4 linked regions of the Drosophila melanogaster genome follow. The protein of the gene in region 1 interacts with the protein of each later gene in a pairwise test. Each region holds a gene or a part of one and is shown in the gene's direction. Other genes may lie near its edges. The genes, in order: CG14708, ApepP, CG14641 and natalisin.

Region 1 (6,913 bases):
TTTGTTTTGAAGACAAATGTTCTTGGCAAGTCTGCGTGAAATGCTCCTAAATTCTATTATCGAAGGACTTGCGTTAGTGTATTTAGGGATTCGACGCTCGAATCCTTTCAACCCATCCAACTGCCGTTGTTGTGTCTGTCGCTTCTGCTCCTGTGGCTCCTGCTCCTCCTACTTCTGCTCCTCCTCCGGCTGCTCCTGCTCCTGATGCTCCTGTCTCTTGAAGATATTTGGCTAAAGGCTTTTAGGACAGCTCAGGACTCGTTCGGCTGTTAGTTGCCGCTTCCAGCGAACATAAAAATGCCCTTAAAAGCAACAGAGACAAACGAAGGACGAAGGACTAAGGACTCTCGGACGAATCTAGGCGAATAAAACGAAAACAGCCAAATATAAAACTTATACCGAAAAGGGATTGACGGATATAAATGGTGATATGACCTAAGGTCATTTGTATAAAATTAAGTTGAACATCATAAAAAATAACACACACACACACAAACACAACAAATGACAAAACTTGCCCGCAGCTAAAAGTGGGCGTGGCCGGGAGGGGCCATAACGCCCTACAGTTATTTCGGAGCTTAATCAAAAGAAAAAAACTTCAATTCGATTTACAATAAGCCGGTCGGCGTGGCGCGTACAAACCGGAAAAAGAAAAACTAAATTGTGATTCTTACAATCGGCGAGGGAAAGTTTTCATTTATTTTCGACCCCCCGCTCGTCCGTTTCCGCTTTTCCGTTCAGTCGAGCCTTGCCTCGCTTTCCTTCCATCTTTAATAAACATTTTTATGCCGTATGCTAATAAAGATTCTGCCTCTCGTCGCTGTCTCTTCTCTTGCTTTTTTGGGGGCCCCAGAGCTATTTGCCGAGCTGCCGAGCTCCTCCAGAGCCCCTCCCCCCCACCTACCACCCATCCATCCACTTTTAATATCCAGCCACGTATGTCATGGTAAGGAACCATTAAACACAAAACACAACGGAAAAAGTGGAGTGCGGCGATGGCGGCGGTGGAAATGTAGAAAAGTGGAAATGGAAAAAGGGCCAAAGAAAAGCAAAGCAGCGAAAAAAAATTATGCCCCAGACGCCGCTGAATTTTAAATGAGCCTTTATGGGCTTCATTTCAGCGTGTAAATTATCTCATTTGTCAGCAATTGCGCTGTGTGCGTGTGCCCCCGTATCTATGTGTGTGTGCGTGCATGTGTGTGTGTGTGTGTGTGTGTGTGCAAGTTCTAGGCTTTATAGTCGTGTATAGGGGCATATAGTGCCCCTGTCCATATGAGACATGTACTCAGCCATTTGTAAAATGATTCAATGACGTCTCCTGGCATTTAATGAGATAAGCACTCGCTTGGCCCGATAAGATTGCGTGGCATGGCAGCAATATACAAAACGGGTAGCATATAAATACGATATTTAAATATAGATGTCGTTCATCATAGAAGCAAAGGAGTTGATTCATTAATTCCGAGACTCCACTTGAATTACAGCCAAACGATGTCTTGTTTTTGGGGATTAACTTTGGCGCGACGTTTTCTTTTGTTTTTTTTTTTTGTTTTGTTTGTGCCACTGAAGTTTCACAATTACCGAAATGGCTTATACAAAAAAGTTCGTTTATAAACCACTTAGATGTGACATCCAGAATAAAAGACAGTACTAACATATTTCCAGTGAGTAGCAAAAGTACCTTGTAAATTGTTTTTATCAGCTTACAAGCTACTTTGACTTAAATCCCTCCATGTGTCCCTGCTCATTTGGATTTTTAGCCATTTTCCACGCTATCTGCCATATGATGGGTGTATCTTTAGAGCACTTTAAAAGATTTAAGAGATGTGTTCAGCAAATTGGTTTATTAAAAAGCTTTGAGTAAATATCAAATGAGAGATGGAAAGTTAAATTAACTTATCTCTTTATTAAATTAGGATTAAAAAGTAGATTCGAAGTTGTTATTTACTTAAGTTCATGCTTACAGCATGCTTACAAAGCACGATCGTAATACTTTTGCTGGCCATGATAATCCTGTTATGATAAGTGAAACAATCACATTCAAATGAATTCGTATTTGACTTTTGACCAAGAGTGCGGAGTGGCAAGTGCGGAGGGATGCCTGATTACTGGCCATCTAAAAGTCAAAACTTTCGGTTGGCAGTAGCAAGTGGATGCAACAGCAAGTTGCGACCGCTGATTGCATGTCGCCTTGGAAAAGCTGAAAATCGTGTTTCCGTTTTCGCTCGGCCAAAACCGACTTTAATAGCAGCTCAAGTGGCGAACGAGAGGAACTTTTTTTGTTGGTTTTTAGTTAGTTTTTTTTTTTTATATTTACTTTTTCCGTTTTTCTTCTCTTTTTTCAAGGAGGAGGGCAATGGAAATATGAAAGCTATGTTGGAAGGAAAAACGGCTCTCAAAAGGATGAGAAGAGGAGCACGCCATTCTGCATTGATGATGCTGCAGGTTTTCCTCGTATTTGGAATCGATGATGTGTGTTCCCGAATTTTATGAGACAACCTTCGCACACGCTGCCATATAGTAAATTTATATCCGCTCGAACAAAGCCCGCGCCAAGGGGATCAAGCTGGAGGAGCTGGGGGGGAGCTGGAGTTACGGTCACGCCGGGCCGGAGACCCAGACCCACCTTTTGACAAGGGCATAATTAAAGCATAACAGCAACAAAAAGCAGAGTGGGCGGGGGCATAGGATACGTTAGCGCCGCCCACTTCGTCCGCGACGAATACCCACCAACTACGGGGTGAAAACAGGTTGTTACTTCCTTGCAAACAAGGTTCCGTTACCGTTATGTATACGGCCACATCTACATCTGCATATATATGCATGTCGGTGTGTGTACGTACTACGTACTACGTAGCTATGTAGCGTGTGTATGTGTGTGCTACAGTTTTGGGAAAAAATATAATAGCGCTGCAAATGAACATTTTATTATCTCACCACTGGCGCGCACACTTAAGGGTTTTTGGGGCTGGGTAATATAAACATAAATAATTAATTATGTTTTCTTATGCACCATAATAATGTGCCACGGAAAACGCTGCTTAGAAACTAGGCAACTAAATTTCAAGGAAAATTTCTTAGCAAGTTTTGACAATATATTTCACTTTTACACTCGTTTCGAGTATAAATTTCTTGCGGTTGATAAACAGATTTAATTAAGTTTCTATGTAGTTATTAAGACAATTTCCCAACTATCTGTCACTTGAAAGAGCAACTTTTAGCAATAGAACCGCAAGTATGAGCATCTATAGATTCGATTCAATGTTTTCGACTTTCAATTAAGAAAGTTGAAGTGACGAAAGTTGCGATTGCTATTCGGTTGACCGCACCTGTGGGCACAGTATGTGTGTAAGTATGTGTTGCTGTGAGCTTGGCGTATAAAAGAAAGCACGTTATTGCCAATTTAACTTACATTGTGCATGTGTCTTTAAACAAAGATTTATGTACCCACTTGCATGCACGCCGTTGCCCAGAACTCGTTGCTCCAGACCCGCGATTCCTGTGTAGCATATATTTGGGGGCGCGATTTTCGGGGGCTGAGCTCCTTTCGCTGTGTTGGTGAGGTCAGGTGCTCGGGCAATAACTCGCTATGGATGGGTATATGTGGGTTTGGGTTTGGGTGTGGGGTGCCCACTTAAATCAGCATAATGATATGCACTTATTATTGTGGCAAATTTGTTGCGGAAGTGCTGCGAAAACCGCACAGGATGGGCCCCAGTTTCAGGAGTTTCCTAGTTCCCAAGCCAAGATCCTCCCAACAGGACATGCTTTTCATAAATTAAAATCTAGTCAGCCTATGTTTAACTTTCGCACTCAAATAATTCGTCTCAGTAGCCTCTGACTTTGATCTCGGCGCATTAGTCACAAATCAGAAGTTGACAAAGTCGGAGCTGAAAAAGAAAAAAAACCAAATATAATCCTTTACTATAGTACAGTTAAATATATAGTGCAGTATAGCAGCATATCACTAAAATGGCCGAGCAGCATTATAATGCAAATGATTTGGCTTCCGATCCAAATTCGCGTAAATTGAAGTTTGCCGGCATTTGCAAACTAAATAATAACGAGCTGTCGAGTCTCTACAATATCGACAAGTTGACCGACGAGGAGCTGGCGTCCGTGAATCTGGATAGGAGCTCCCTGATCGATGACTATCGTCTACTGCACGAGGTGTCGCAGATGAAGCAAATAGAGAATGAAGCAAATAATATCCCTGCTGCTGCTCCAGCAGGACAACCAAAATCCAAGGAGTTGCATGAGCAATTCGTAAAAGAGATGGAGAAGTACCTTACCAATAAGAAGTACACATTTCCGATGCTCAACCATTTGATCAAGTTAATGAGTTGGGAAGTGGAGCCGGAGACCATTTTCAACGAAAAGGCGTTTCAGATTGATGTCAATTACCATGAGGACGAGGAGGTAATGCAGCTGGAGCCCAATGAGCGTCTGTTTCGTCGCCTCAAGTCCATCTACGATCATCTGGAGGACATGTTCATCAACGGCAATCGCAGAACGGCCTCCGACCTGGTCTTCACCGCAATTATCCGTTTGGTCGACCGCTCTAATGTGGCAAAATATAAAATCATATAATACAGCAATGCTATAAGAATGCTGAAGTTTCTTACAGCTAATAAAAAAAATATGTAATTATCCAACAGATGTTCGTTAAGGGTTATGATTTTCACGATAAACGTGGCCAAAAGAGGTGGCAGGTTCAACTTCTCCTCAACCGCATGTCGATGTCGATTTCTTCATTTGCCTAATACGAGTCGACGCCATCATTAATCTAAAATATGGCTCACATACACGAACCCACTCCCACGCACACGCACACACACACACACACCAAGGCGAGCATGGCGTGCATGTAATTATGCTGGAAACAGTGGCGTGGAAAGGGGTTTTCAAGGGTGGAAGAGGGGGCTAGGTTGTCCGGAATTCGAGTGAGAGGAAGCAGTCACATTGCCACCACAGAGACACACATTTGCGTAAGCCTTGTTAATCGTGACAAAAGCTTATTGCGGGTTATTTGGACTACTTGTTTCGCATCCGGCGCTGGCACAACGAAAATCAACATTGCCACATGTAAATACATACATACGCACACTCACACACACACACGCACACACACATATGACTGCGCACAGAGAGACAAAACACCCAGTATTTCGTACGCAAAGCGGTTACACGCAGTCAGGATTTGATTTCATGTTCGCATGATTAAGGATTTTACGTCGGCCCAGCAGAATGTTTGAAATAAAGGGCTTATGAATTTGCAAAGTGGTTTCCAGCATAATATGCTAATTACAAAAATTCGGTTTTATGTCATGATCTGCAGCAGGCCTTGAAATTTGTTGACGACATGGTAGTATTCAATAAAGATGTTGCTGAAAGTCCACATAATTCACTATACTAATGGCTTAACTGTACTTTAATACTTATCCCTAATTATAAGGAAATTAACGAAATATTTGTTTTGTATATTTAAAGTTAATTTATTATTGACTATATATAGTGTGACAAGTTTCTTTGCAGTATTAATTATGATCTTAAGGTTGGATTGTACTTGAATGTGCACGTTGCTCATTTTGAAATGTCAAACTTCTAACCCTGCACCCATTTTTTCTGTCTGTGTAAAGTTATGTGTGCGTATTGGCCTGTCGGTTGGGCCTGTCATCCAAAAGGGGGAAAGATACCAAGGAGCATGGAAAGGGGGGGGGGGAAAGGAGCTCGCGTCACTTGCACACATAATAAACATTTTAAACATTATTCTCGTGTTAAGCAGCTCCTTGGATTGGTGCTGCCACGTTGCTGCTGTTTCTGCTTGTGCTGATGCTGCTTCTGCTGCTGCTGCTGCTGTTTGATGCTGCTGCGACTACTGCTGCTGTTCGTTTTCGGTGAAATTTACGGGTTTCAACGAATAATGGTGCATGTGGGAAATGAACGTTTTGTGTTCGCTTTTGCCTGTCATCGCAGCCACGCAGCAGAATCCTCGCTCGCACAAACACACTCGCACATTCCGAAACATTCGCCACTTTATCAGCATTTTACTTTAGCCGTTATTACCAGAGATCCACTCACAGTACATTAGCACACCCACACAAATCCAAATCCACATCCGCATCCTCATTCGCACCCAAGCCACCCAGCCACCCACCTATCATTCCACAATCCTAACAAGAACACCACTACATGCGAGTCCTCCGCACGCATGTTGTTAGTCTCAACGAGGTTGCGACTCTCCAAGGAAATTAAAAAACAACTAAAACAAATTAACAATATAATGACAAAAGTCTTATGTGAACTGTGGCCGAAGAGAAGCCGACGATGCCAAGATTTGGAGCAGATGAAGTAGGCCTAAGACGAAGTGAACGCTGAAATGGAAAAGCACGGCGGGAAAAACTTGAGTTATAAGCAAATCCAAATGCTTATATTAATGCTATACAACTAAATTCACCGCATAAGAATACAAAACTTTAAAGGCCTAAAGACAACTTGAAACTCCTGGCCTTTGCAATTTGCTCGCTCGCACGAATTATTTAACTATCTATTCATTAATTTAAACACCTTCAACTAGTGCTGCTCCCAAAGGCATGGCATTAACAATGCATAACATTTGCGTGGGAATATTTTTGCTGTGTGTAGGCAAAACTGAAGAAGCAGTATTAGGTCTCGCAGCTAAATGGCAAATCAAGCATTTGCACAAAATTGAATTACCTACCCAGGCATCCGAGTTTGCAGACCCATTACGACAAGTCGAGCCACCGCATCCACCTTCCCCGGGACGAGTTTCCCCGCCCAATTTCAAACCACCCCCCATTCTTCATACATCCATCCAGTGGCTGAAACCGCCCACGTTAAGTATACGCCATGGATTCGGGGCAATTGGCACTTTTGCAATGGGGCAAACCGG
Region 2 (8,542 bases), on another chromosome or scaffold:
TTGCCCTAGAGGCATCTTCATTGGGCGTTGGCGTGGCAGGTGGGCAGCCAGTTGGTGTCTCTGCTCCATTTCCCTGTTGCTGCTGCTGCTGTTGCTGCACACTAAGGTCACCCAGGAAGAGCCTTCTCACAATCCTCCTGCGATACCAAGCTTTGGGGAACGCTAGGATCTCAGTCAATCTCCTCATGTCGTACTTAAAACTGGCACTACCAATATCCACAATGGTAGAGAACCGTATTACGGCTCGCGATTGATCAAGAGATCTCTTAGAACTGGGCAGAGGCTCAATGTACACCTTTCTGCAACGCGTAATGTGGAACTTGACGAACTCCACGTTGATACTCAACGAATCCTTCCTTTCACTGTCGCTGAGAGGTGAAAACTGTGTCTCCTTAGAAGTCTTTTTGCCACCATACGGATGGAAAATGAACACATTGAAGTCGGCAAGGCAGCCTGTAACACTAAGTCCTCCAGTGGGTAGCTGCTGATCTGGTTGGGTATGACCTCCTGGCTGTGCTGAGTTCTCCTCCTCGCTGCTCCTCTTTGAACTGAAAACAATATCCAAACTTGGCAGCTGAAGCATACATTCTACTCTAGAAACTGGCAGACAGCTAAATCTGAAGGTAGAAGGTTGCATATGAAAGTAAACTATTACATCCACCGGAAATGAAGCATAAGTCACATAGTTGGCAGGCAGTATGTCCAGATTAACACCTGTGTTGTGGGAGGGAGTTGGCGGAACACTACTCGATTGCCGAGCCGGAATGGGTTCTAGAGTCTGCTCTAGGAATTCCAAAATATGGGGTGATATGATTGTTTCCTCTGGTATACTCTGTAAAGTCATCCAAGCGCACAAAGTTGCTCGTTTGCTGCCCATTCGTCGTCCAGTTGGCAACTGATCTCCGGTTAGTTGCTCGGCCAGTGTTTTTGACTGATAATGAAGTTTTACATCCAATCCTGGGATGTGGAAGATGGTGAGATCCGCCAGCAATGCATTTGCATTGTAGCGCAGCTTGCTCTTGTCCCTCTGCCTTCTCGAGGGAGTTGGACTGCCCCAATCGTTGCCTATGCTTTTTTCCCGCTTATGAGATTTTACACTTGAAGCTGGCACACCACTTGTAGCTGCTCCCGATCCACCAGCGTAGCCTCGCTCCTCACCAGTATCCTTCGTATGGAGCACGCATTTTCCAGAGTTCACAAGCACCTTAATGTCCAGTTCAAAATCAATGTTGGGTTCCGGCTGTTTCTGTCCATGTCCATGCTTGCGTCGCATTTCCACGGAGGTGCCATCAACATCAATCTCACTCGGCGTGATATCCCCTCTCCAATCAAGCTCATTGTCAGCTGTCTCCGTGTCCGTGTCCGCATTGGGCAGTGAAGTCTGGCGCATAGCCTCTGTGAAGGTGACTCGTCCAAGAGCATTAACTCCCCCTCCAATGACTCCTCCTCCTGTTGTATGTTTTAAGGAAGCACTGCGGGAATGACAGGAGGCCGGTGTGCTTTGCAAGCTAGATATCTCATCATTGGACGCAATTGTGTCCAGTCTTCTGCCAGTATAGCTAACATTGTCCAGTGTTTGCGGAACGCCAACTCCACTCACTGAAGATCCAGATCCAATGTAAGAATGCGAGCGACCGTAGGTCTTCAGGGACCTTCTCAGCGATGGTCTTTTCCACTTCTGAATCATATCTCTACGGAAGTACTTGTAGCAAATGGCTTGTAGCTCTTGGAGTCGTCTTTCCTCGTGGGCCACGGTATTATGTGATGCTCCGAGAGTACGCAGATCATTGATAATCTTCAGCTGTTCGGCCATCTCCTTCTCCATCATGAAGGAACGCTTCTTGGAATCGATTGTGGGATCAAATACAAAAGCTGGCAAATTGTCGAAGTCTCCTCTGCGCCGCACAAACGTATCTCTGCAGCTCTGATCTCCTTCATCGCTGTCCGGTGATTCCATTTGGGTCTCATCCTCTTCGAATCCCGTGAGCATGGTAAGAGTGTGGCCAAGAGAACTCAGCTGCTTGCCAATATTCACATCCAGGTGAATATCCACGCCCTCCATTTGCCACTTGACATTCAACAGCCACTTGGCGTTCTCACCCTTCTTAGCTGCTGTAGTGCGGGAACACACCTCGAAGGTTCCCTCGGAGACAACGCAAACGTTCATAATGGGCTCAGCGCTGTTGGGCTTCCAGTCATCTAGATTTGTTTCAAAATCATCGGCAAATCGCAGGCACAGACCCTGGAACTTTCCCTTAGACACTAAAGCTCCCGAGTTGCAAGCTGAGATAATCGTGTTCTCCAGCGTGATTACAACCGCGCCCTTGGCATCAAAGTCTTGGTATGAACGGGAGCCAAAGGTCTGCAAAAGAAAATTTATGTGGTTCAAATAATCTTTATATTACAGATTTAATTGGATACATACCGTAGTGTTGACCTGTTTCAGGGGCAAGCAAATGCCCATGTCCTCCACGGTGAGTTGCAGGAAGAGCGTAGACAAATTTGAGCCTGCAATCTGGCCAAAAGCCACGCGATCGAACACTTGTGGATTCTGCATATTTTGGTTCTGATGCTGTCCCGAATACTGACTAAGGAGACTGTGCTGAGCGTGCTCGTGGCAGAGATTCGCACGCTTCTCCGCCCAGTACTCGTAAGCATTCTTATAGTTAAGCCACACGAGGATCGCCTTGTCCACGGCAATTGGCTGAACGTAGACCAGTGGTCTCTTCAGGGTCAGCAGAATCAACTCCTTGTCTTCGTTGAGCAGTTCGTCTTGGAAAGCATTCCTCAGGTTAATGGTAGTGTGGAAAAAGGCGTACTGCTGGAACTCCGGCTCGGCCTCGTCGAAAATCACATTGCGTATAATCTGACCCAGGGACAAGTTGAAATCTATGTGAGCCTTAAAGAAGAGCTTACGATTGCTCATATCGCCTAGGTTCTTCACACGGTTAGACAGCTGCAGCTCCAGGATTCCGGTCTCGAATCGAACAGCCGAGGAGCAGGGTGTAGTAGCCGTCAATTGGATGCGTTTCATGGAAATGTTGATTGAGAAGAGGATGCGCTTAAGCGAGGACTCCTGTACTGCTCCGGAACTATCGCCACTCTCTTCCGTCCACAGGGGCACAGGTTTCTCTCCTCCGTAAACTTTCTGCAGAACCTCGTTGATTTCGCGCATAAACACCTTCTGCACAAAGACCAGATGGTTTAGGAGATCTGTGGTCAGGCAGCGCTCGAACTCGCCGATCTCGGCGCTGGCGTTCACGTAGCCACCTTGGCGCAGGACAATGCCCTCGACATTTTCCGTGTGATCCTGGCGGTGGTCTGGAATGTATTCCGCCAGAACGTGAACAGGTGGCAGGCCAATACAAGCTTCCGATGGAAGGTTCATCTCATTCTAAAAGGAATTACAAAGAAAAAACACATTTAATTACATCTACAACATTTTTTAAGATCTTAGTTGAATTCTTTTCAAATACTGTTGCTGAGCTTCTTTATAAGAGTTATACTCCTTTTAATTATACATTAAAAACATTAATATGGGATAAGTTTCTTAATGAAATATTTAAATTGTTCCCGCTACACTTTTAGTGTTACCCTTTTAGGCAAAAGCTAAAAAATACTGAAAGCTTGGAGGCGATATGAAATAATATAGTTCAGCATTTTTGACGTGCTATTAATTGCAAAATTGAATGTGTCAGTGCAAAAAGATTATAAAATATTTGCACCCTGTAGTTTAAACAATAGTTTGACAGCCTTTGTAAGTGTGACACTTATATTCGCCCGATTATTTATGTATTTATGGGATACAAGAAACTCGATTACGGTTGATTATCTTATCGCCCCAACTGGACTACAAATTCTGTGTTTTTTTTTTCGCTCAGTTATTTTGCTGCCATTGAGGAACCACAATGAAGAGGAGCACCACCCAAATTCTGACCAGGTTGAGGGAGCTAATGCTCCGCGCCCAGGTGGGCGACTCCTGCGGCATATCGGCATACATTGTGCCCTCGGACGACGCCCATCAGTCGGAGTACCAGTGCCAGCATGACGAGCGACGCTCCTTTGTGAGTGGTTTCGATGGATCCGCTGGCACGGCGGTGATAACGACGGAGACCGCACTGCTGTGGACCGACGGTCGTTACTATCAGCAGGCGGAGAAGCAGCTGGACTCCAATTGGGTTCTAATGCGGGATGGTCTGAGCGCCACCCCGTCGATTGGCGCCTGGCTGGCGAAGAATCTGCCCAAGGGCAGCTTTGTGGGCGTGGATCCTCGCCTGTTGTCGTTCCGCGTATGGAAACCCATCGAAACGGAACTAAGCTCCGCGGAATGCCAGCTGGTGCCCATCGAAGGCAACCTCATCGACGAGGTCTGGGGTGAGGATCAGCCACCGCAAACCTCAAACAAGATTATAACCCTGAAACTAGAACATTCTGGCGTAACTATCGCCAAAAAATGGGACGTGGTGCGCCAGCAGTTGAAGGAGAAGAATGCTGATGCCCTGGTGGTCAGTGCTCTCGATGAAATCGCTTGGTTCTTGAACCTACGCGGCTCGGACATTGACTTCAACCCCGTCTTCTTCTCCTACTTGATTGTGACCAACGATGAACTACTGCTCTTTGTGGACTCTGGCAAATTGCCCACTGATTTTGTGCAGCATCAAAAGGAGAACAATGTGCAGATAAGCGTTTTGCCTTACGCCTCAATTGGCATTGAAATCAGTAAGATTGTGTCGACCAGGGAGTCAAAGATCTGGATAGCACCCACCAGCAGCTACTATCTAACTGCTTTGATACCCAAGTCACGTAGAATTCAGGAGGTAACGCCGATTTGTGTGCTGAAGGCCATTAAGAACGATGTCGAGATCGCAGGCTTCATCAACAGCCACATTCGCGATGGAGTCGCTTTGTGTCAGTATTTCGCCTGGCTTGAGGATCAAGTGAATAAGGGTGCGGAAGTCGATGAAATGTCTGGTGCCGATAAACTCGAGTCCTTCCGGTCGACAAAGGATAAGTACATGGGCCTTAGCTTCACCACAATTAGTGCTTCGGGACCCAACGGCTCTGTTATTCACTATCACCCAAAGAAGGAAACCAACAGGAAGATAAATGACAAAGAGATTTATCTGTGTGATTCCGGAGCTCAATACTTGGATGGTACTACGGATGTGACGAGGACCCTTCACTTCGGTGAACCCACTGAGTTTCAGAAGGAAGCCTACACTCGCGTTTTAAAGGGCCAACTGAGCTTCGGCTCCACCGTATTCCCAGCTAAGGTTAAGGGACAGGTTCTTGACACTCTAGCGAGGAAGGCCCTGTGGGACGTCGGTTTGGACTACGGACACGGAACCGGCCATGGAGTAGGTCACTTCCTAAATGTCCACGAAGGTCCCATGGGCGTAGGAATTCGACTGATGCCCGACGATCCTGGTCTCCAGGCGAACATGTTTATTTCCAATGAGCCTGGTTTCTACCAGGACGGAGAGTTTGGCATCCGTGTCGAGGATATTGTTCAAATTGTGCCAGGCCAGGTGGCACACAATTTCTCCAACCGAGGCGCCCTCACATTCAAAACCATCACCATGTGCCCGAAGCAAACGAAAATGATTAAAAAGGAACTTCTATCGGATGCGGAAGTAAAGCTGCTCAACAGCTATCATCAACAAGTCTGGGACACTCTTTCCCCAATCCTATCTCGCGAAGGAGACGAATTTACTCTGTCCTGGCTCAAAAAGGAAGTTCAGCCCATTTAATTGCATTTTTAACCCGTTATTTCGGTCATCTTTAACTAATATTCTTTCCCATGCATACACTTACTCTTTTCTCAAGACTAAAATATTAAAAAAAAAATGCTTTTATATACCTTTTAAAAGGGCTTATCTTAAATTTGTACGCTGAACAAATATTATGTAAAAAAAAAAAGTTTATAAATGTGTAAAGCTCACCTGAATTTTGGTATTAAAGCTGAGCGTGTGCGTGGGTAGGTCGATAACAAACTTTGCCCTCTGCCCAGTTACTCCCATGGAACTAACATGATTCATGCGATACTGGGCCTGCAGCGAAGGAAGTAGCGCAGCATTGATGGACAGACTCTGCAAGAGCACATTGAACTGCATGACCAGGGGCTGAAGCAATCCATTCTGGTGCTGTGCTGTGCCTGTCTTGGATTGCGCCATGTGTGCTGCCCGGCGAGCCGCCTGTTGCGGCTGCTGCTGGGCACCAGCTCCGCCGGAAACAGTGCGCTCCCGCATTTCGCTGGCCACTCCAGTTCCACTGCTGGCTCCAACTGAGTTGCGGGCATGGAACGGAGACTCAGGCTCCTCGGCGGTATGCGAACGCATCGTGGACCGACCAGAGTTACGCTTTACACGCAGCTCCTGTAGAGTGGACGACAACTGCTTAGAGCTTCGAGTCATCATTCCATGTAGGGCCACCGGATGTTGCGGAATGTCTATGTTAACAGCACCAATCGACAGCAGGCCACTGTTCTTATCCTTTCCACGCTTGGAAAGGCTTGAATAGAGAGTCTGGCTCTTACCCACGGTTACCTTTACTACGGTTCTGAAATGAAATACAAACGAGTTTGAATACCAATCACACAATCAGAAAATCAGGCAAAGTAGTGCTTACTGTTGACTGGGAGCCACTCCTTCGAGCAGCACAATCATGGCTCGTCCCACTTGACCAGTAAGGGAGCATTCCAAGGAGACAGGACGAGCCTTTTTCCTCCAAGTGGCTGTGCTATTAAGAGTGGTGATCTCCGATTCCAACTTGAGGCCAGAAAGCGTGGCCAGCAGGCGAGTCTTGTGAATCTTGGCCACACCGAAAACTATCAGGCGGGTTCGTTCCTGAGATGAAGCATCTACCAGCAACATCTCCCTATGTTGGGGCAGAGGTGTTGGTGCACTGGCCAAGTCATCATCGTCGTGCGCAAAGCCCGCAGACTTGCTTTTGTGTTCGTTCAACGAGCTCCTTTGGACCACAGTCTTGGTCTCCGGCATTGTACCATACAACTCTAACAGGTGGTAGATGGTCTTCCAGCAGTTGGGTGTCTCTAACATCGGCGCCATCGTTGGCATTCCAGCTTTGGTCAGCGTGTTCTGGTAATCCCCACTGACACTGGTGGCACAAGCACCATTCAACGAAGCTTTCGACTCCGTGGACATTTTGAGGATATTATGTTCGTGGAGCGACATTGTTGGACTATCCCTTAGTGGCGATGAACTGGACTCATTCAAATTCGTGTAGCCCAACTTGCCCTTCACGGATTTCCCAGTGGATCTAAGTTTTTGGGCGAAGCTCTGGGGTCTGTTCTTGGCATTTGGAGAAGGTGTCAGTTGAATAATTGGAGCCAAGCCTCCGGGACGCGGTCTTGCCAACATTGTGGGCATCGTTTCGTTGAATTTGTCATAGCGTTCATCTGAATAGTTTTCAGCATGGTTATAGCGCTCGGACATCGAATTAAATGGCACGATGTCTGTGGGCTCAGAAGCTGAAAATTAGAATGATTAATAGGTTTAAAAATACAGTTTGAATGCAGTGATCGTTAACTTACCCAAGCTGCACTCGTCTTTGGTTTGGCTCTTTTTGCTTAGCTCAGGCTGATCGTGAAACTCGTTCTGGGCATCCTTTACGTTTTGATACATATTGCAGATCTGATGTAGCAGCCTCAGCAGCGGCATATTTACCTGAAATCCATAAAAACATTTTTATGTAGCTTATGTGCATTTTAAAGTACAGATTCTCCACCCACCTGCTGCGAGATGAATCTCACATTTAGACTGAAATTGATCACAGTACTGGTGTGCTTCTTTAGCTGGCGACGCGACATATAGATAACATTCTGTCGCGCCTGATCCACCATCCCATCGGACATTTTTAAGACTTCCAACTCCACGCCCACTCGCTCGCATAAGAACAAGGGGGTGTCCATCATTATGGAGGCCCTGCCGCCGTTTGATTTCTTGTTCAGTTTGGCTGGCTTTTGGGCAGAGTTCTTTTTGTCACCCGCCTCGCTGACCACAATGTCCACCCGAATAGAATCAAAAGTGCCGATCAAAGAGAGATTTGTGCCAAAGTTTTCCAGCGAAGAAATGTCTGCGTTGGAGAACTTGTTGATCATTTGTTGTGGCATCACTCCCAAGCAGGTGAGAAGTGGTTCAAAGATCAGATGGGCATCGAGCAGCTTAATGGAATCCTGCATTATGCCACTGCGTGTTTGTCCTGCATGTTCAGTCATTTTCGGAGGAGCTGGGCGTGCGTGTTCCTTTTCAGTGAAGTGCTTCTTTTTGTTGTCCTGCTGTTTAGCCATCCAGAAGTACAAATCCTCCTTGTGGTTCTCGGTTCCCAGCCAGGACTTGTTTACCGAGTTTGTAGAGCTCAATGAACCCTCTTGCAATGCACCGTATTCTGATGAGAACATATCATGAAATCACTGAGTGTTCCTTATGATTAGTATTATAAAATGTACTTACCGAATTCCGGAACCTGCCCCGAGATAATGGGCAGCATCTGAATGCTGGAACGAGACGAATTGCCATGTGAA
Region 3 (7,947 bases), 7.3 Mb from region 1:
AGAAATGAACACAAAAGTCGGGTGTTGAATCACACCGCAGCCACTTTTACGCACTTACTCTATTTGAAACGGCTGTTTTCTCGAATTGGTGTTAGCGATGTCGCGTACGACTGCTAAAGTTTTGTTAAAATTCAGGAACTGAGTACTTATCACCCCAGAGCTTTCTGGACAGCGAACTGCTCGCTTGCATTACCTGGAGAGGACTGCCATTGTGGCGGCGCCGGAGGCATCCATTTCGAGTCTGCCTCTTCTCTGGTCGACGACCGAGGGTTCCGAGGAGCTTTGTTTATTGTTGCGATAAGTATCTGTGAGTCGCAAATAGCGTATATGCCCGATGTGTTTGGGTACGCGATCTTTTGTATTGGCCTTTATTTTTGTCGTAGCGTTGGTTTCTAGTTCAAACAGCGGCAGTTGCTCTTCCAGATTTAAGCAGAGTGTGTGGAAACTGCAAGTAAGAGAATCATCAGGGCAATAAGAGAAGGAAAGATGTTAATATTTTCGAACGAATCGCTGAGCACTGATGTTTAACCGCCAACAAGTACGCGTATGTTATATACAGCCACCCAGAAAACAACGTCTTTAAATAATAATAATTGTCTTCAACAATAAGAGCTTCCCCAAACTCGTTTAAGCTAAACTTCCTGATGGATTTCTTAAATGTGAGTTGTAGAATGCTAAATGATACTTAATATTTCCCGAAAAGTTGTTCTGCTCACCAGCTCCTCTCTTGTATGATATCATGTTTGTATCTCGAGTGCGCTGCTTGATCAGAGCATAATGTTAAGGAGAGCAAAAAAAAAGTGCCGCAAGCGTGTAATCGCATATTGTCATTCAGTTAATTAGTTTCACCTGCGTATGAGATCACGACTGTTTTCGTCAAGCGGCAAGCCCATTTGGCCCTTCCTTGCAACTGGGTCACAGCCAAAAAAAAAGAAATCAGTTTTTATTGAGAACTCAGTATGGGATGGAATCATATAAGATTTTTAAATTATGTCGGCAAGCACATTAGTTCCAATTTGTAAAGGCTTGGGAGCCAGTCAGGAGTACGTCATACGTACTTCGAAATGATACCTATTTGAAATGAAAGTGATGGGCCACAGCATGTTCGGAATAATATTCCGAAGCCGGCCATAAGTTGGACCAGCTTGAATTGGTTGGATAAAGGCAGTTACCCATTTTCCAGTGCCAAAATCATACAAACGGATTCTTGGACAAACCGCGCGCATGGGTAACATTTAAACATTCAAATGTGTATCCAATTATTCAAATCCAATCCAAATGCCAATGAAGTTGGGGATAATTTAACGGAGATAAATTAACCAAATTTTGTAGGTACCATCAATTTAATTTGATCATATTATACAGTGTTATGAATTTATTTTTTCAAGAACACACAGCTTGGTAAAAAGCTAGTGGCTTATCTAATATAAAACCGACCTCAGTTCCGATGATTGTTTTCAAAGCAGTAGATAAGACAAATCAACGACCAATTTAACGAAATGAACTCAGCAAAATAATAGCTTTGAAAGTTGTTAATGTCTATATAATCAGCCTTCAATTGAAATCATTTAGGCTAGTCTGAATTTTACTTTATACTAGAGTAACCTACTATTCTGGGCGATGTTATTACATATTGCTGATAAAACATCATTTAATTTTTGGGGCACACTTACTTGTAAGTCAATACGATCTGCGCAATTTCTCACGATCCCAGTGCGATGATTGAATAAAAGCGCTTCGAACGACAAGCATGCAGAGCTCTGCCTCAGACACTAAACGAAAGCCAAAGCTCGTCTTCGCTTTTATAATATTTTTCTTAAGCCCGAAACGCGCGCGCGTCCGGCCGAGATCGCTCTCTGGGGTTGCTGGGACGATTGATAAGCAAAGCTTCGTGCGATAAGCAGCAAACTGAACTTAAAACAGAGTGAAAATAAATTTAAAAGTTCCCAGAAAAGTATGTATGTATACTAATCTATTTATTACTATTTTAATTTGGTGGTGGTAGTGGTTTAGTAATCCGCAGCGGTGTTAGATAGGTAGTCGCGACGTCCTATGTTTGAAGCTTGCTTGTTCTGAACAGCCTCAAGTTTTGGGCACTCCGTGATGCGATGGCCCAGACCACCACAGTAGGTGCAGCCATGCGAGTCACCCAGGTCCAGGTGCTGGTGTTCGGTCTCAGGTGCCAGTTCGTCCAAGAAGTCCGGGACCTCTTGCTTGCCCTCGATTAGCAGGTGCTTCAGGTCGAGCAGAACCGACTGCTCGGTAGTCTTGTTTATCAGCGTCGTAGCCAATCCCTTAGTGTTGGAACGACCTGTGCGGCCAATACGATGCACATAGTTTTCAATATCGTCCGGCATGTCGTAGTTAATAACGTGTTGCACGTTAGGGAAGTCCAGGCCCTTCGATGCCACGTCGGTGGCCACCAGCACATCTTTTTTGCCCACGCGGTAAGCATCGACTGCCCGCGATCGTTCTTCCTGATCCTTTCCGCCGTGAATAGCCACCGCCTCCACGCCTTTCAACAGCAGATACTCATGTATGCAGTCTACATCCTGCTTCTTCTCAGCAAAAATGAGCACGGGCGGCGCGGTCTTCTGTAGGCAGTCCAGCAAATATACCACCTTTGCCTCTTGCTTAACGTACTCAACCTGTTGGGTGACGTTCATTGACGCAGCACCTGCGCGACCCACATTTATTGTGACAGGCTTCACGAGAGCTGATCGAGCAAAGTTCTGGATCTTTTTTGGCATGGTGGCAGAGAATAAAAGTGTCTGTCGCTGGCCTTTGAAGAAAGAGAATATCGTACGAACGTCCTCTTCAAATCCCATGTCAATCATGCGGTCAGCCTCGTCCATGCACAAGTACCGGCACATGTCCAGCGTAAGGATCTTCTTGTCCAGCATATCCATTAGACGACCAGGGGTCGCCACCACAATATGTACGCCGCGTGAGATGACGTCAAGGGCCTCGCTGACCGGCAAACCACCCATGGCCAGGCAGGAACGAATCTCAGGCATTCCGCATGCCTGGAGGTGCTTGCTGTAGTGTTGAATTATCTCGTGTGTTTGCTTGGCCAGTTCGCGGGACGGGCAAATGATCAGGCCGTAGGGGCCCTCGTTACGCTCAAAAGGCAGACTATACTCCTGTTCCAGGGCAAACATGATGACTGGCAGCACGAAGACAAGCGTTTTTCCAGACCCAGTGAAGGCTATTCCAATTAGGTCGCGGCCGGCTAGTACAGTGGGCAGGCCTTGCACTTGGATTGGGGTCGGGTTCTTAATGCCTTTGGCCGCTAAGCCGTTAAGTATACCTTTAGGGAACTTCATTTCCCGGAAGCTGCGAATTGGCGGGCTGGGGGTTTCTCCCTCCACTAGGATCCTCAACTCGTGGCGAACGGCCTCGCGCTCTTCCTCCGACATTTCCCGAATGTAACGCGGCGGTTTCCAAGCTGTTTTAATAGGCTGCTCGTACTGAATCCCCTTCGCCAACTCTGCCACACCCATAAGGGCCTTCTGCTGAGCAATGCTCTCCATAATCTTTTCCTCCTCTCGCAGCTGCTTTTCGACGGCACTCAACTTTTTGGCCTCGGCAATTTTCTTCAGTTCTGTGTGCTGGTCCAGCAGACTAATGTTGTACTTGCGTCCCCAGGTCTCGACATCGTGCGCACCCTGCGAGTCGTCTTCATTCTCATTCTCGCTTGACGACTTGGGCTGGGCCGTTTCCGAAACCAGTTGCACGATCCTGCCCAGCTTTATCATGTGCTGCTTCTTCCGCTCCTTCACCGGTACGTATGGCACGTAGTCCTCGTTGTCCAGGTCGCCTTCCTCCGAGGACTTAGACGACCTCCGATACCGCTTTACGTGCGCCATAGCATTCGATCTATATTTCTGATTTTTGTTTGTTTCGTTTTCGCCTAATTTGACTACAACAAAGGCCACCGTACGACGTTTTAAATTAGGCGAGCCCGAAAAATACTATATTCTAATGGGTATCGATTACAGTTATTAAACAGTGATTCCACTGACAGCTTCTTGCTTATGATATATTCATGGCATGCAGACCGGATAATAGTTTTTTTTTCAATTTGGGCAAAATCTTTCGATTTCGTTTTTAGGTGCTCTGGTTTTCTGAGTTTGAGATTGAGTCTTTCTTTTTTTGTGAAAACCAAGCAACGTGAAAAATGCAACTTTTAGCGCGAAGGTTGCCATACTGTTGGTGAAATATAACAGGCAGGTAAAAATACTTAGTAAATATATTTAAAGCAGGGCCAAAAGTGCTGTTCGTAAATAATGATAATTAATTGAATAACATAAGTGGTCAGAGCGCAGTGAATACGTAACTGCGAACATCGGAATTAAAAGTGCCAAAAACTCTGTGTAAATCGCCCAGAAACATTTTATATGAACTTATGCGTGCTATCAAAAGTGTTTCAGGAACATTTCTGTTAAACGGTTAGCGAACATGAATAGTACAGAATAGTAGAATATCGTATTGATCGGTTTCGGATCAGTCGAATGCAATATATTTTTGTGTGCATTTGGGTATAGATATATATTCTAAGCAGTGTGAATATGCTATTAAATTCAATAAATTATATCGATTGCTGACTTTGAACTAACTGTCTGCTTCTGGCTCAACTTATCGATATTGGTATATCACTCGCGACACACCACCATTTTCGACAAGTAGAAAGCGAATGAGCATTGTCTAAATTTAGCTCGGATTTTAAGTGCAAGGTACATAAGTGCCGCTGCTATGTCTATGTCAAAAACGACTAACACCTATAACCGGCAGAACTGGGAAGATGCTGAATTCCCAATTCTGTGCCAAACTTGCCTTGGCGACAATCCGTACGTGCGGATGATTAAAGAGCGGTTCGGCAAGGAATGCAAGATATGCACGCGTCCATTCACAATATTTCGATGGTGTCCTGGTGCTCGTATGCGCTTCAAAAAGACGGAGATATGTCAAACGTGTGCGCGCCTGAAGAACGTGTGTCAGACCTGCCTCTTGGACCTGGAGTACGGACTGCCGATTCAAGTACGAGATGCGGCGCTCAAAGTGGCTGACAATATGCCACAAAGCGACGTTAACAAGGAATACTACATCCAAAACATAGACGCCCAGCTGCAGGACGGAGATGGCACGGAGGCGGCAGGAGCTGTCGGTCGATCCCTCGCCGCCAACGAGATGTTGTCCAAGCTTGCGCGCACAGCACCCTATTACAAAAGAAATCGGCCGCACATCTGCTCCTTTTGGGTTAAGGGCGAGTGCAAGCGTGGAGAGGAGTGCCCATACCGCCACGACAAGCCCAACGAGCCGGACGATCCGCTATGTGAGCAAAACATCAAGGACAGGTACTACGGACGCAACGATCCTGTGGCCGAGAAGATCATGAAGCGTGCAGCCTCGCTTCCCACACTCGAGCCGCCGGAGGACCGCAACATCACAACTCTCTATGTGGGGAACCTTCCTGAAGAAATCACGGAACCCGAGCTGCGAGATCAGTTCTACCAGTTCGGCGAAATTCGATCAATTGCGCTGGTGCCACGCCAGCAGTGCGCTTTTGTGCAATACACCAAAAGAAACGCTGCCGAGCTGGCTGCTGAGCGGACCTTTAATAAACTGGTGATCCAGGGCCGGAAGGTGAGCATTAAGTGGGCTCACTCTCAGGCAAAGCAGGGCACCGCTGCAAAGACAGACAGACGCTTCGACTTGGCCGGCATTCCACCGCCTAGCGCGAAGCCCAACGACTACTTCAATCTTCGCCAAGAGCAAATCAATGTCATGCCCGCCGGCATGAAGCTGCATCAGTTGCCATCAAATCTAGTTCCGGCGTCGGCTTACCAAATGTATGGTCAGCCTACTTATGCAGCTCCCTACGGAAACGCCACTTCCACAGCCCTTTCTTCCTCGGGTGTCAATTTGGATTCCATATCGATTCCTCCGCCACCGGGTCAAGTACCGTATCCAAGTCAGGACGCCAGTCGGATGGGAGCTGTTAAAAAGTAGGAAAACCCTGTGGTCTACAATGGTTCCAATTCAATAAATCATTTTTATAAAATTAAATACAAACTTTTTAAAGTGGTCAGTTCCATAAAAATGACTTAATATTAATAGAATTTATCCGTATGGACGAAATTGTTTTCGATTCGAATTGTTAAGAAAAAACACCAAACAATTAGAGAGGAGAAGATAATAATAAATGATTTAAACTCTAAAAAAAAAAAGAAAAAAAGAACAAATTTTCGTCACAAAAGCTTATATCAAAACTTTTGTACATATGTATGTTGATGTGCGTTCGTCACTCGTTTTTACCTTTAATAAATGCTTTTCTTTGATTTGGACGATATTTGGGATTAAAAAAAGTACACCAATGCACATGTACATATGTAAGTTCATTCTTCAGTATTTATAGGGGAACTTAACATTGGGATTATGACTACCTCCCTGCATTCCATTCATTCAGATTTCATCAGCTCATTACTGATCATTAAAAATCTCGATCAAATTAATCACAGGTTAATTTGTATTAAAAAAAAAAACCATGACCTGAACCTATGTTCTAGGAAATCATCGCATAGCGCAAAATCAAAATCACGCATAAGCGCTATAAATGATAGCTCAATTCATCTCTCTACACCTCTTTTTATTCACTTAATCCTCTATCAATTTTAATGAAAAAGTGAAATTTCAGTCATTTATTAATAAAAATGTATTTTCTTAATTAGACTTATTTAAATTATGCATAGGATTTAAATTTAAGAATACAAATACATATATATGTATGTGAAATTCCAGAGTCTTTGGCGTCCTGTCCTACGGAGTTAGGACCAGCTTCTTTTCAGTTCACATGTCCGATTTACCTTAAGGTAAAATAATGTATAATTATGTATACAAAAACGAGTTAAACCAATTTACCTTAAATTATCGTTTCTGTGAGTAGTGTTTGTTGCTTATTGTAAAATAAATCCATTACCTGTAATTATTATTGAATTAAATTCCAAAATATTTACAATTTTTTTTTAAAACAAGCACTCAAAATCGCGTCTACTTCTCACAAAAGTCTATAGGCAAGTGATCTGCAAACATGTTCTATGTACATTACAAATTTAAAATTTAAATTTAAATTTGCAATTAAATAAAAAATCGCATACTGAGACCTTCGGTTAGAAATTAAAAAGCGATGAATTTGTTTTCAAAATCATCGCTTATTCCTCGTTATGATTAAGAACATTAGCATCGCTTTAAAATTTTAAGAGAGAGATGATGTAATATTTTTTAATAGCGATGAATTGTGGGACTACAGGGTAGGTAAAGGTTACATATGTACAGGTGCGAGCAGTGCAAATATGTTTATTCTAATGAAATCTTAGACTAACTGTAAATTATATAATGGCTATATTTCTTTTACCCGTCACTCTTACTCTTCTTTACTTCCAGAAAGGGGGTTTTGTCTTAGCTAAACATATGATTAATGTATTCTATGTTTTTTCAATATTCATTCCAATATACAATTTTACAATTAATGGTTTTGCAACAGCTATTTTGAAGTTAATTATTGCTTGTTTTGTAGTTTTTACCGATAAATCACACGTGTGCAAGCGATCGCTTATTAAAACAGTAATAAGTAATAATATTTAAAGTAACGACCAAACGATTGGGAATAATCTTTCCAGCGATTTAAACCTTGAAATAAAAAGTAAGTGTCATCCCCGTATGATTATGCGCACATTCGCAGGGCGACGCGTGCACCTAGGCGAGAGTTTTAAAACTTGTTCAGCGGATCTTGATCATTACATTCTCAAGTCTGTCGTACAGCACGTTTAAGCCCGCTGATAGTAAATCAGAGCAATGGCAACCGTGTTTCTTGGAACTGTCGTGCACACCAAGTCGTTCAGCGAGTTTGAGTCCTTTGAAGGAGGATTCCTGGCAGTGGACGACGCT
Region 4 (9,600 bases), 2.9 Mb from region 1:
CGTAATATTTGTAATCTTCATAGCTCGGTAAGATATTTAAGTAATAAAAGACCCATATGAACTGAGTTAATTTACATAAAGCAAACGTATAAATAAATCTTAGTCATAAAGTTCTTCCTTCCTATGACCTATTTGTGTGGACTAAGCTGTACTTGGCTGGAAACAGATCCAGGCGAAATGATTTCCGCTTTCCTTTCGTTTTGCAACTAGAACGAGTGGAAAGGAAATGGGCCAGGAGACTTTGCTCTCCCCATATCGATTGGTAGCAAATATTTCGAGTTGTCAACAGAAACGCCAACAACAATGTAGACCTTTTACCCCATCCGCATATCAACTCCCCGGTTTTTGTGGGTTTTTGGTTTTCGTTTTCGCTTTTCGGTGTTGATGTCGTGTTTTTCCACTGGCATGGCATGGCACGCGTTTTGAAAATTAATATTTGTCTTTTTGCAGCCAGTCGGCTGCTGCCTTTTTGAGGTTTTTCCCCCTTAAAAATGGGGGACCACAGAGGTGAGCACAATGTGTGCTAAGCATATGCATATGCAACCGTGGAGGAGACCGCAAGCTCAGTGCCGTTTATGTGCCGTTTTGGATTATAAATGTTTTAATTAGATATATTCGGCTTGATAAGCCAGAGACAGCTAACAAGTTGGTTGGTCTGTTTCGGGGCTTATGGTTTATGGGCCTCGCTCGACTAGTCGAAGTGGGTCAGCGAGTTGGCCAAAGATTGCAGTCACTTCTCTAAAGACAAAAACCGAAGCACTTGGAAAAATATAGTGTAAGTTTAGTTACAAGTTTTTATAGCTTAATACGAAATTAATATTAATATTAGATTTCCTGTTGTCATCATTTAATTTCCAAGGCATTCTAATAGCAACAGCTCCTTTTGGGTTATCACAGAGTTGAACTTGCAGCATCTTCATAAACTTTGCCCTTTTTTCCTCCGCGACCCTACGATTCCAATTAGAGAATATTTTACGACTCTATGCTCGGCAATCAATCTCCAATTGTCTTTCAATCTAAAGCTGAGTAAGAACTGCACTAATTAGAGCATTTTATGATACATTTTATGGCGCTGCGAAGCCCCCGAAAATGCAACTCCTATAAAACTTGCCTACTTGTCTATCTTATTCAAACAGTTCAAAGTTTAACTCGTTCAAGTGCCAGCCACCGAGTGACGACTGTCTATCAACAGACCAATTCAGTGGCCCCCACTTTCATCTTGCTGCTCATCCTCATCATCATCTCCGACTCCTCTACTCCGTTGCCCATAAATTTCACGCGCCTCAGTTGCGCATCCGGCAAATGGATGGATGGACGGATGGATGGAACATATGGCAGTTCTTGAAAGAACACATTCCTCACTCACCGAATTTCTGGGGGAAGTTGGTCCCTTTTTGGGGGCATGCCGTGTGTGTGGGCCCCCAAAGTTTGTGTTGCTGCCGCCTGTGTGTGTTGACAACATTGTTGTGATTCAGATTAAATGCCTTCGTCTTGAGCGCATTTTATCTAGCCCACATTCATAAAATATGCTTCGCTGTTTGCTCGCTAGCATGTCGAAATTAAGGCAACCAGAGATTACACGGGAATTTCAGAGATTTGAGATTAGGAAATCTGAGCGTAAGCTGCAGAACATATGCATACACCAGCGGTTTAACCTTCTTCGAAATTTCAAATGGTAATTTGCAATTTAAAAGTTATGCAAATAGGCATAGATTACGTGTATGTAAAATTGCTGCTGAGCTCTAATTATGCGAAGAGCTTCAATATTTTTTAAATCCCTTGAATGAAATTGAGGTAGACTGAATTTGATACACGAAACTTTTTAAGGATGTTATCCCTGAAGATGTGGGTCTGCTGCCTCTTACATCTTATTTACAAAGTATTTTGAACTGTGTACTCACGTGCTTCTCTGGTTTCAAGACGAGTCCGTTCTGTTGCTGCTGCTGCTGCTGCAGTTGATGTTCCATGATGGATGATGAGCCCTTGCCGAGTCGACTCTGTATGGCCGCCGAGGCAGCTGCGGACAGGAGGATGGGCGCCGTCCTGGAGGTGGGCGAGCTGCTGGCCGAACCGGAACCGGATCCTTCGGCCAGGGCCGCCAAATGCGGGGGCAGCTTATCACCGGCGGCCATCAGGCTGTCCAGATCACGTAGGAACTTGCAGGCCCAAATGTTAACATCGTCCGCCTGGACAGGTGGAGTGGGCATGGAGTTCGTCGTGGTTTTGGTGGGACTGAGGGGCGGCGGCGGGAGTGCCCTTAGTTTAGTTGTCACTGGCTTGCCCGATGTGACTGCTCCAGCTCCTGCTGCTGTTGCTGTTGCTGGTGTGCCCGATGTTGCTGTGGTGCTGCTGCTGTCAAAGCCGCTATCTGATTCCGTGGAACGAGACAATTCATCAAGCTGCTGGACTCCTGCCTGCGATAGCCGCTCCTCCAGTTGCTCACGGAGCTGCTGCTCCAAACGCTGGACCTTGCGCAGCTCGAAGACTTCGTTGATTTCCCGCTGAAATTAGAATGGCAGTTGTTAGTGAGGTGCACATGGAGAAATAATGGATATCAGGGATTTAATTTTGCTTTAAAAATGTAATGTTTTGGCTCATCTATATAGCAATCGGTAAACAAACAATTAGACATGCTATTTTACATTTAGCAGTTCCTAGTCCACCTATTAATCCCCTTCGTTGTTAGTTTTCTGTCCATGTATGCAAGACCCATAAATTCCGCACTGTGGCGGAGATTAGGTTTTGATTAGCGCTCTAATTGCGCACATATATCAAGGCAATGGTCTATTAATCGCGCCCAAAGCGCCACATTCGCGTCCACAAAGACCTTCTTCTAATGGCCCCCGACTATGATGTATGTTTGCTTAATTTGGCCCGCAAACAGGGACAAAAAGAAAGGCCAGGACACGACCGCAGGAGACATCCCGGAGAGACATGGGCACAATCAAAGACAAATAAATTAGAACACGACCGCGGAGGCAGAAAAAGGTTTTCCACACTCGCATCCAAACAGAAAACTGCAGCCACGAACTCCCAGCGAAACACGACTCGAATGCAAATAAATTGAAATGAAGCAATTTGTTAGCCAGATTAAACACAGCTAAAAAAGACGAACCAAAACCAAAAAAAAAAGAAGCACTGGAAGAGAACTCCGTATGGTCGCCAGAGAAGATCAGAGACAGATGGAGCCCACAGGGCTAACAAAGTCAGCGAATTACTTAATTAAAAATCGTGGCCCAAGACCCAGAGAACCCAACAAACTGGTCCCTGTTGCCATAGAACCCTTTCCGAAGACCCTTCTTCCCGCATCCCCAGTGACATTAATAACGTGCAGTGCTCATTACTCAACAATTGTGTTTTTGTTTGCGAGCCCTTGTTTTTCCCCCTTTTGCCACAATTTTCTCCCTTTTTTTCGTGGCTGCTCCTGTTGCCAGAAGGGCAACTCACAGACAAATGCGATCGAGCATTAGCAGGCAATAAATTCTCAGAGGTAGTCTATTGCTTCTGGGGGCTTGAAAGAAAGCCGCATACTCTAAGATCTTATCGACGGGGGCCACTCGGGCATTGGCGAGAAGTTGGCTGGCTAATTTGTGAAGGCGGTTCTGGGTTCACAGGTTAGGCAAACAGAGCCGGACACACCAATCGAGTTTGGTTCAACTGACTTCAGTTGATTTCGAACTCAACTTGTGACGTATGAGAGAGTTGGCTTGGGGACATCTCAAGTGGGTCGCCATATTTCCCAGTTCGACGCCGTACAATGCAATTTCTTTTTATTAATTTCATGCTAGGACGCATATGACAAACAATTGGCAATGCCAAGGAATCATGCACTGTGAAAACATAATATTTGTTCTTTTGATATGAATGAGTTCCTGGATCTTTTAAAGGCCCTTTTCATTTCTAATTCCAATTTCTCTAAGTGTTGTCATATGTGACCAGGGGTCTTTCGAGCGCGACAAGCAGGCGTATTCCCAAAACTCCGCGGTCCGCTCCTTTGGCCTTTGGATCTCGTTCTCGTGCTATAAAAAGCTGGACCGCTGACCAGCAACTTTCAGTTTCAGTCTCTCCGTTTTTCTAAGAGCCAAAAACGCAGCGGATGCCGCGGACTGGCCGCCTGGCTAACTGGCTTCTTCAAAGTGGCCGACGAGGCTGGAGTGGAGTGAAATAAAAATTGGCACAACTTCGAGAGACTAAAGTTGGAGTTGGAGTTGCTGTGTCCAAAGTCGCTCCTCGATCCTCCGACCAAGGCGGCAGACAGCATGAGGCTCACGTTGGCCTGGCTCAGCCTCTGCCTGGCGATTTATTGCGGCGGTGGCCATGGCCATGGCAATGTGGTCCTATCTTTGCCACCATCGCTTATCGCCACGGCCACGAAGGCGGCCTTGAGCCACCAACGGCAGCAGAAGCAGCAGCAGCAGCATCAGAAAAAGGATGCACGCGTCCTGTTTGACAGCCCCGCCGATGCACTGCGCGATATGATGCACAACGGCAATGGCAATGGCAATGGACCCATGGATTCTGGAAAATTTAGCCTGTCCGATGTGGAGCAACCAGCAGCGCAGCGCTCTGAGGATTTTAATCGAAACGCATATGATTTAGGGGCCAGGCAATCAGCGCCGCAGGAAATTGCAATGGGAATGGAACTGGGCATGGGTCTGGGTCTGGGGCCCAACAACTATCGCACCACGCCCCCTCATCGGTATTGGGGCCAGCGTTGTCAGGGTCGATCCGGCGGATCTGGAACCAGCAAGTGTCCGCAGGAATACTATCGCACCATGCTGGCGGCCAGGTAAGGAGTCCAGGATGTGGGTGGCAAAGTGGCTGCCAGAGATTGGCCAGCAGGTTCAAGGCTGCACAGAAGGAAAGTCGAGAAAGTTGAGCACCTCGTTTCCGCCTTACATGTAAACCGATTTGGCAGCAAAAGTATCAATTTAACCCACTAAGGCCCAAAGTTGTACATTTTTGAAAAAGTTATGGTTTCAATATTAATTGTTCCTTAACGGATATCTGAACGTTATTTTTGGCAAATATTAAAACATATAAATCTGAAAACCCACACCTTTGGCAAAAAGAGGGTTAATGCTAACCCTTTTCAGGGCGCCAGGCTCTGCCAAAAAATAAAAAGGTTAACCTTCTCGAGAGAGGGGCTACAAATCGTCGACAATTTGGCTGTCGACTGGGAACACGCAAAACCAATTAATGGGCGTGAAAAAATCAGTACCGACGATTGCAGTTTTGTTTCAAGTCAGAGCCAGGAGACCGCCGCCACGTATGTTGATTTATTTTATAAAATAACAACTGTCAGCAAATTCATTGCCCCGAAACGAAATCGAAACGAAAACTGCATTACGAGTTTCACTTTTCATTTCGGCGAGTGAGAAATATTTTGCTCGCCCAGCTTTTGTTTTTATTTTAAAACATTTCTTTCCTTTCTTTGCCGCGGCTTGTAATTTAAGCGGAATATTATGTTGTGTTGAAAAATTATTGGGCGCTGCTATTAAAATCGAATTAATCATCTCAGGGCTGGGACCTTAACATTATTGTTTTCTGTTCGCTTATGTTTGCTCTTTGTTGATTTGTTAAATGTTTGATTAATTAACCATGAGCCCGCATAACTTTCGATTGTTGTTGCTGCTCGTCTAATTTGTAATTTTACACAGTAATTTCTGTGGAATTGCCTCAAATTGACTTTTGATTGAATCGGATCAGCCTGACAGCCTCGGATAAGCGAAGAGTTTAGGCGTTTTTTTTTTTTTTTATTGGGGTCACAAGTTGTGAGTGGGAAAAAGAAGTTCATCAATTTGGTGTCGTCGGCTTCAGTTAATTTCTTGAAAAGAGAAACTCTGGCCAACAAGGGTAATTGAAACCCATGGCCAGCAACCCACGCTCAAGACCAAAGAGAAAAATGTGAAAATGTGCTGTTCCTTAAAGCGAACAAATGATGGGGCATTAATCAGAGTATAGAAACCGTAAGCCCTTATTATTCCTCACCATCAGGAACAAAGAGGCGCTGTCCCGCCTCCACATGCAGCTGAGTTCGATGCAGGATTCCGATTCTGGGGCCAGCTCCTCCTCGGATTCCGAGGAGGAACATGTCGACGATGAGGAGCAGAGCAACAACGAGGTCTTCATGCTGCTAACTGGCGAACAGGATTTGATGAAGTTTCTGCACTGGGCCATGCAGGTCCTGTATCCCATTGAACGTCCTTTGGGCAATCTGAGCGATGGAGCTGCCGAGAACTACTATCCAGGAATGTTTCTCTGGAAGAAACTAAATCTTTCGGGCCATCTGGAACCCCCACTTATTGTGGATGAGCCCCAGTATGTGCTGGTACGAAGGGAAAAGCTTTTCGATGGCTATCAATTTGGAGGTGAGTGTATTTTAGAAACTGCTATCACTATGGATAATCTACTATAACTCGACTGACTTTTTCCAGAAGACATGAGCAAGGAGAACGATCCCTTCATACCGCCTCGAGGTCGCAAGCACAGCGGATCGCTGGATCTGGACGCCCTGATGAACCGGTACGAACCCTTTGTGCCCAATCGCGGCAAGCGCGACAAGGTCAAGGATCTGTTCAAGTATGACGACCTGTTCTATCCGCATCGCGGCAAAAAGCATCGCAACCTCTTCCAAGTGGACGATCCCTTCTTTGCCACCCGGGGCAAGAAGCTGCAGCTCCGGGATCTTTACAACGCCGACGATCCATTCGTTCCGAATCGCGGCAAGCGGCACTTGACAGCCAGTGCCGGGAAATTGGGTGAGACGATGGCGGGTGGTGGAAAATGGCCAGATGACAGCAACAACTACTGGCCGCTAAGAATGTCAACGCATAAAATTAATGGTTACGATCAATCAGTCAGGCCATCACTGTCAGTGGAGGATGCTGCTGCATCGTTGGCTTCTTGGCGACTGCCCGCTAATAGATTGCACTCGACAAGATCAATGTCAGCCGATCTGCGGCAGCAATTGCTCTTGCCACATGTCCGCTTCATTGGCAATCCGAACATGCGCCAGCAGCAGCAGCAGCAGCAGCAGCATCAGGTGAAAACCTCATCCTGGCAGGCAGAGGAGCGCCTCCGGAGATCCATCCTGGCCCCGGGCGAATCAAACGATGCCCACGAGACACAATTAACGCTATCGCACCCGGCTAATCCACATTTGGTCACCGATACGGACAACCTAAACATTTAAATGCGGCGAGCGAATTTCGTTTTCGGATTGGATTTATTTGGCTTTTCAGTTTTCGGCTTGGGGCACTGTTTTCCTCGACTCATGTAGACACAACTATATGGCACACAATAAAGTACAGCATGCAATTGATTTTGAGAGAAATCGCATCGATTCGTAGCGAACTGAAGGTTGATCGGCTACATTGCCCTTGGGGACGCTTTTTCAGAACCACACTGAGAGAAAATCTTTTAACTTGGTATAGGAGTCCTTAGGTCAGCACTTAAGTTTTGATTAAAGCCTTTAACCTAAAAAAAAAATATTTATTTAATTTAATTTTATATATTTATATTTTTATCACACATATTCGTATTAGAATTTCTTCTAAAATCGATTGACTTGTATTTTTTCCCGTGTTCTCTGCGAAGGTCTCGCCCCGTTGCCCTTGGCAAAGTTGTTGCAGTGCGAGTATTCCTATTTTAATTGTATTCATTGGTTAATTTATCGCTAAATGCAATCAGTATTGTGCCCAGCATCGAGTCTTGACTCCGTTGAAGCAGCAGAAACCCTGAAACCCAGCTGCAGACAGTCGGGCGTGGCACGCAGTTGATGCCACATCAGAGATATGCTGGCAGATATACAGATACACAGATATTGTAGAACAACTGCAGCCGTTTGTAAGTCCGGCAGAAGAAAACCGAAAACAGCTGCTGAGCGACTGCAAAGGTCAGCCCCACAAGGGCCATGTAATCCCCAAAACGCACATCAATCACGCGAGTTTAGCTTATTAGCCAAGCATTGAACCTTAAACAAAAAGCGGGAGAAGCACTGAATTTGTAAGCCACTGTGAACTGAAATTTTCCACTTCAACCGATTTCTGACATTGACATTGACCACATCGACATCAACGTCAAAATATTTTTCTTTTTTTTTTCATTTTTTTGGTGTTGTATTTTTGGTAAGCCAGCGGACCTTTTGCCAGCTCGCTTTGTTTTTGAACAAATGACCATTGAAGGTCATAGCCAGATCCAAAAGCGGGCAACAACAAATTGGTTAAATAATATCGTACCCATGTGCTGCTCCATCTCCATCTCGATTTGGCCTCTTTATTTTTCGTTTTCTGGTAGCCTGACGTCCGAGCGATCGGTCCGAAATCCCCTGAAGATCATTATAATTTCAATGGCACTTCATATGGAGTGTGTATATGCATATATGTGTATCTATGTTTGGTTTGGGAAGAATGCAAGCAAAGCCTGTCCACAAATACTATACATTTTCTTAGAGTTCAACTCTCGGCTGGGCAATGACACTTGAAGTGGTTAGCTCACGTGCAGCTTTTTCAAAGCCAGAATGGCTGAAATCGAGTTAGAGGTACGCCTTCGTGGAGGGCACAGTTTGAGTTAGGTAAGCTTAGTGCTAAACAGCTGTGACAGCTTCAGTAGAAATCCCGCAGAAGCCCTCGCATACCGTTCTTACATAACTCAAAACAAAAATCTTTAAGTACTGCATTCAGTTTTATTGGCAAAAGGTGGAGTGTAGGCAGCAGTGGCTTCGATTGTTTGAATTTTGTAAATATTTGTATAGGTGTATCTTAAAACCATACTAATACTTATTTTTTTTTGTTTTTTACACATAGGTCATGATGGTTATTTAGTTGATTTGGTCATTGTTTATTGTATTCTCTTCTAAGCTTTTAATTTATATTTCAGTAAAGAGTATTAAAACTAGTTGTACAACTTAGGCAATCATGGTAGCAAATCCTGTGTCAGGCGTGAGGATTGTAAAAATTCAATTCAAAACTCCTAAGATCGAGCAGCAGGCTACTTTGTGTCACTTGTGGCAAGTGGCTAGAGGAAAAGAAAGTCCGGGCTCAGAAGTGCACTCACCGCAGAAATGCGATTCCCAGTTGTAAGCTTCGATTTTGCATCAGCAAATTGGCTCAATTTTTGTGGCAAGGCCTTTGGTTTATTTTACTTTATTTTGACTCGCTGGCTGCTGATTTGCTTGTCGGAAAATATCAACGCATTGTCAGCGAGCCGAACTTGACAACTGGCAACATGCAACGCTGCAATATTGCAACATTGCAACTCTGCGGCATTGCAACTCTGCTGCATTGCAACTCTGCAACTGCAATTGTAACGCGATCAGCATGAGTAGCTGGCAGCCTGTGACAGCGGCTTAATTGCTGTCTGCAATTATGATTGCTGCCGGTGAAATGCTAGAAGCCTTTTGTCGCTTCACTTTCATTTCAAAGTATCGGCTTCTCAGCTTTTCAGCTTCTCCCACAGTCTTTCTTCTGTCTTTTTTTTGTACTGATGATTTTCTAACTCCATTTGGCATCCTCGGAGGCCTGTGGGATTTTCTTCGGTTTAGCGAGATCAACTCCTGGTTGACAAAAATAGTAACGTGCAGGCAGGCGCTGCCTTTTA

What was found.
Region 2: the proteins of CG14708 (region 1) and ApepP interact in a two-hybrid assay, tested with the Drosophila melanogaster proteins (one large-scale study listed by BioGRID).
Region 3: the proteins of CG14708 (region 1) and CG14641 interact in a two-hybrid assay, tested with the Drosophila melanogaster proteins (one large-scale study listed by BioGRID).
Region 4: the proteins of CG14708 (region 1) and natalisin interact in a two-hybrid assay, tested with the Drosophila melanogaster proteins (one large-scale study listed by BioGRID).

What each region holds. Positions count from the first base shown.
Region 1 is NT_033777.3:11,550,217-11,557,129, forward strand, and holds CG14708 (uncharacterized protein), read left to right. Parts: upstream 1-3,928; 5' UTR 3,929-3,972; coding exon 3,973-4,590; 3' UTR 4,591-4,653; downstream 4,654-6,913.
Region 2 is NT_033779.5:16,905,524-16,914,065, reverse strand, and holds ApepP (aminopeptidase P), read left to right. Parts: upstream 1-3,647; 5' UTR 3,648-3,757; exon of another isoform or gene 3,758-3,881; 5' UTR 3,882-3,908; coding exon 3,909-5,750; 3' UTR 5,751-5,837; downstream 5,838-8,542. Other genes in the region: tweek, read right to left, coding at 1-2,362, 2,426-3,394, 5,943-6,558, 6,628-7,489, 7,553-7,685, 7,751-8,406, 8,472-8,542. UniProt on the Drosophila melanogaster protein: Catalyzes the removal of a penultimate prolyl residue from the N-termini of peptides, such as Arg-Pro-Pro.
Region 3 is NT_033777.3:4,229,051-4,236,997, reverse strand, and holds CG14641 (uncharacterized protein), read left to right. Parts: upstream 1-4,655; 5' UTR 4,656-4,755; coding exon 4,756-6,012; 3' UTR 6,013-6,219; downstream 6,220-7,947. Other genes in the region: Gel (gelsolin), read right to left, coding at 194-234; abs (abstrakt), read right to left, coding at 2,010-3,869; DhpD (dihydropterin deaminase), read left to right, coding at 7,855-7,947.
Region 4 is NT_033777.3:14,414,533-14,424,132, forward strand, and holds natalisin (natalisin), read left to right. Parts: upstream 1-4,060; 5' UTR 4,061-4,259; coding exon 4,260-4,789; intron 4,790-5,997; coding exon 5,998-6,371; intron 6,372-6,437; coding exon 6,438-7,195; 3' UTR 7,196-7,323; downstream 7,324-9,600. Other genes in the region: cv-c (crossveinless c), read right to left, coding at 1,902-2,501.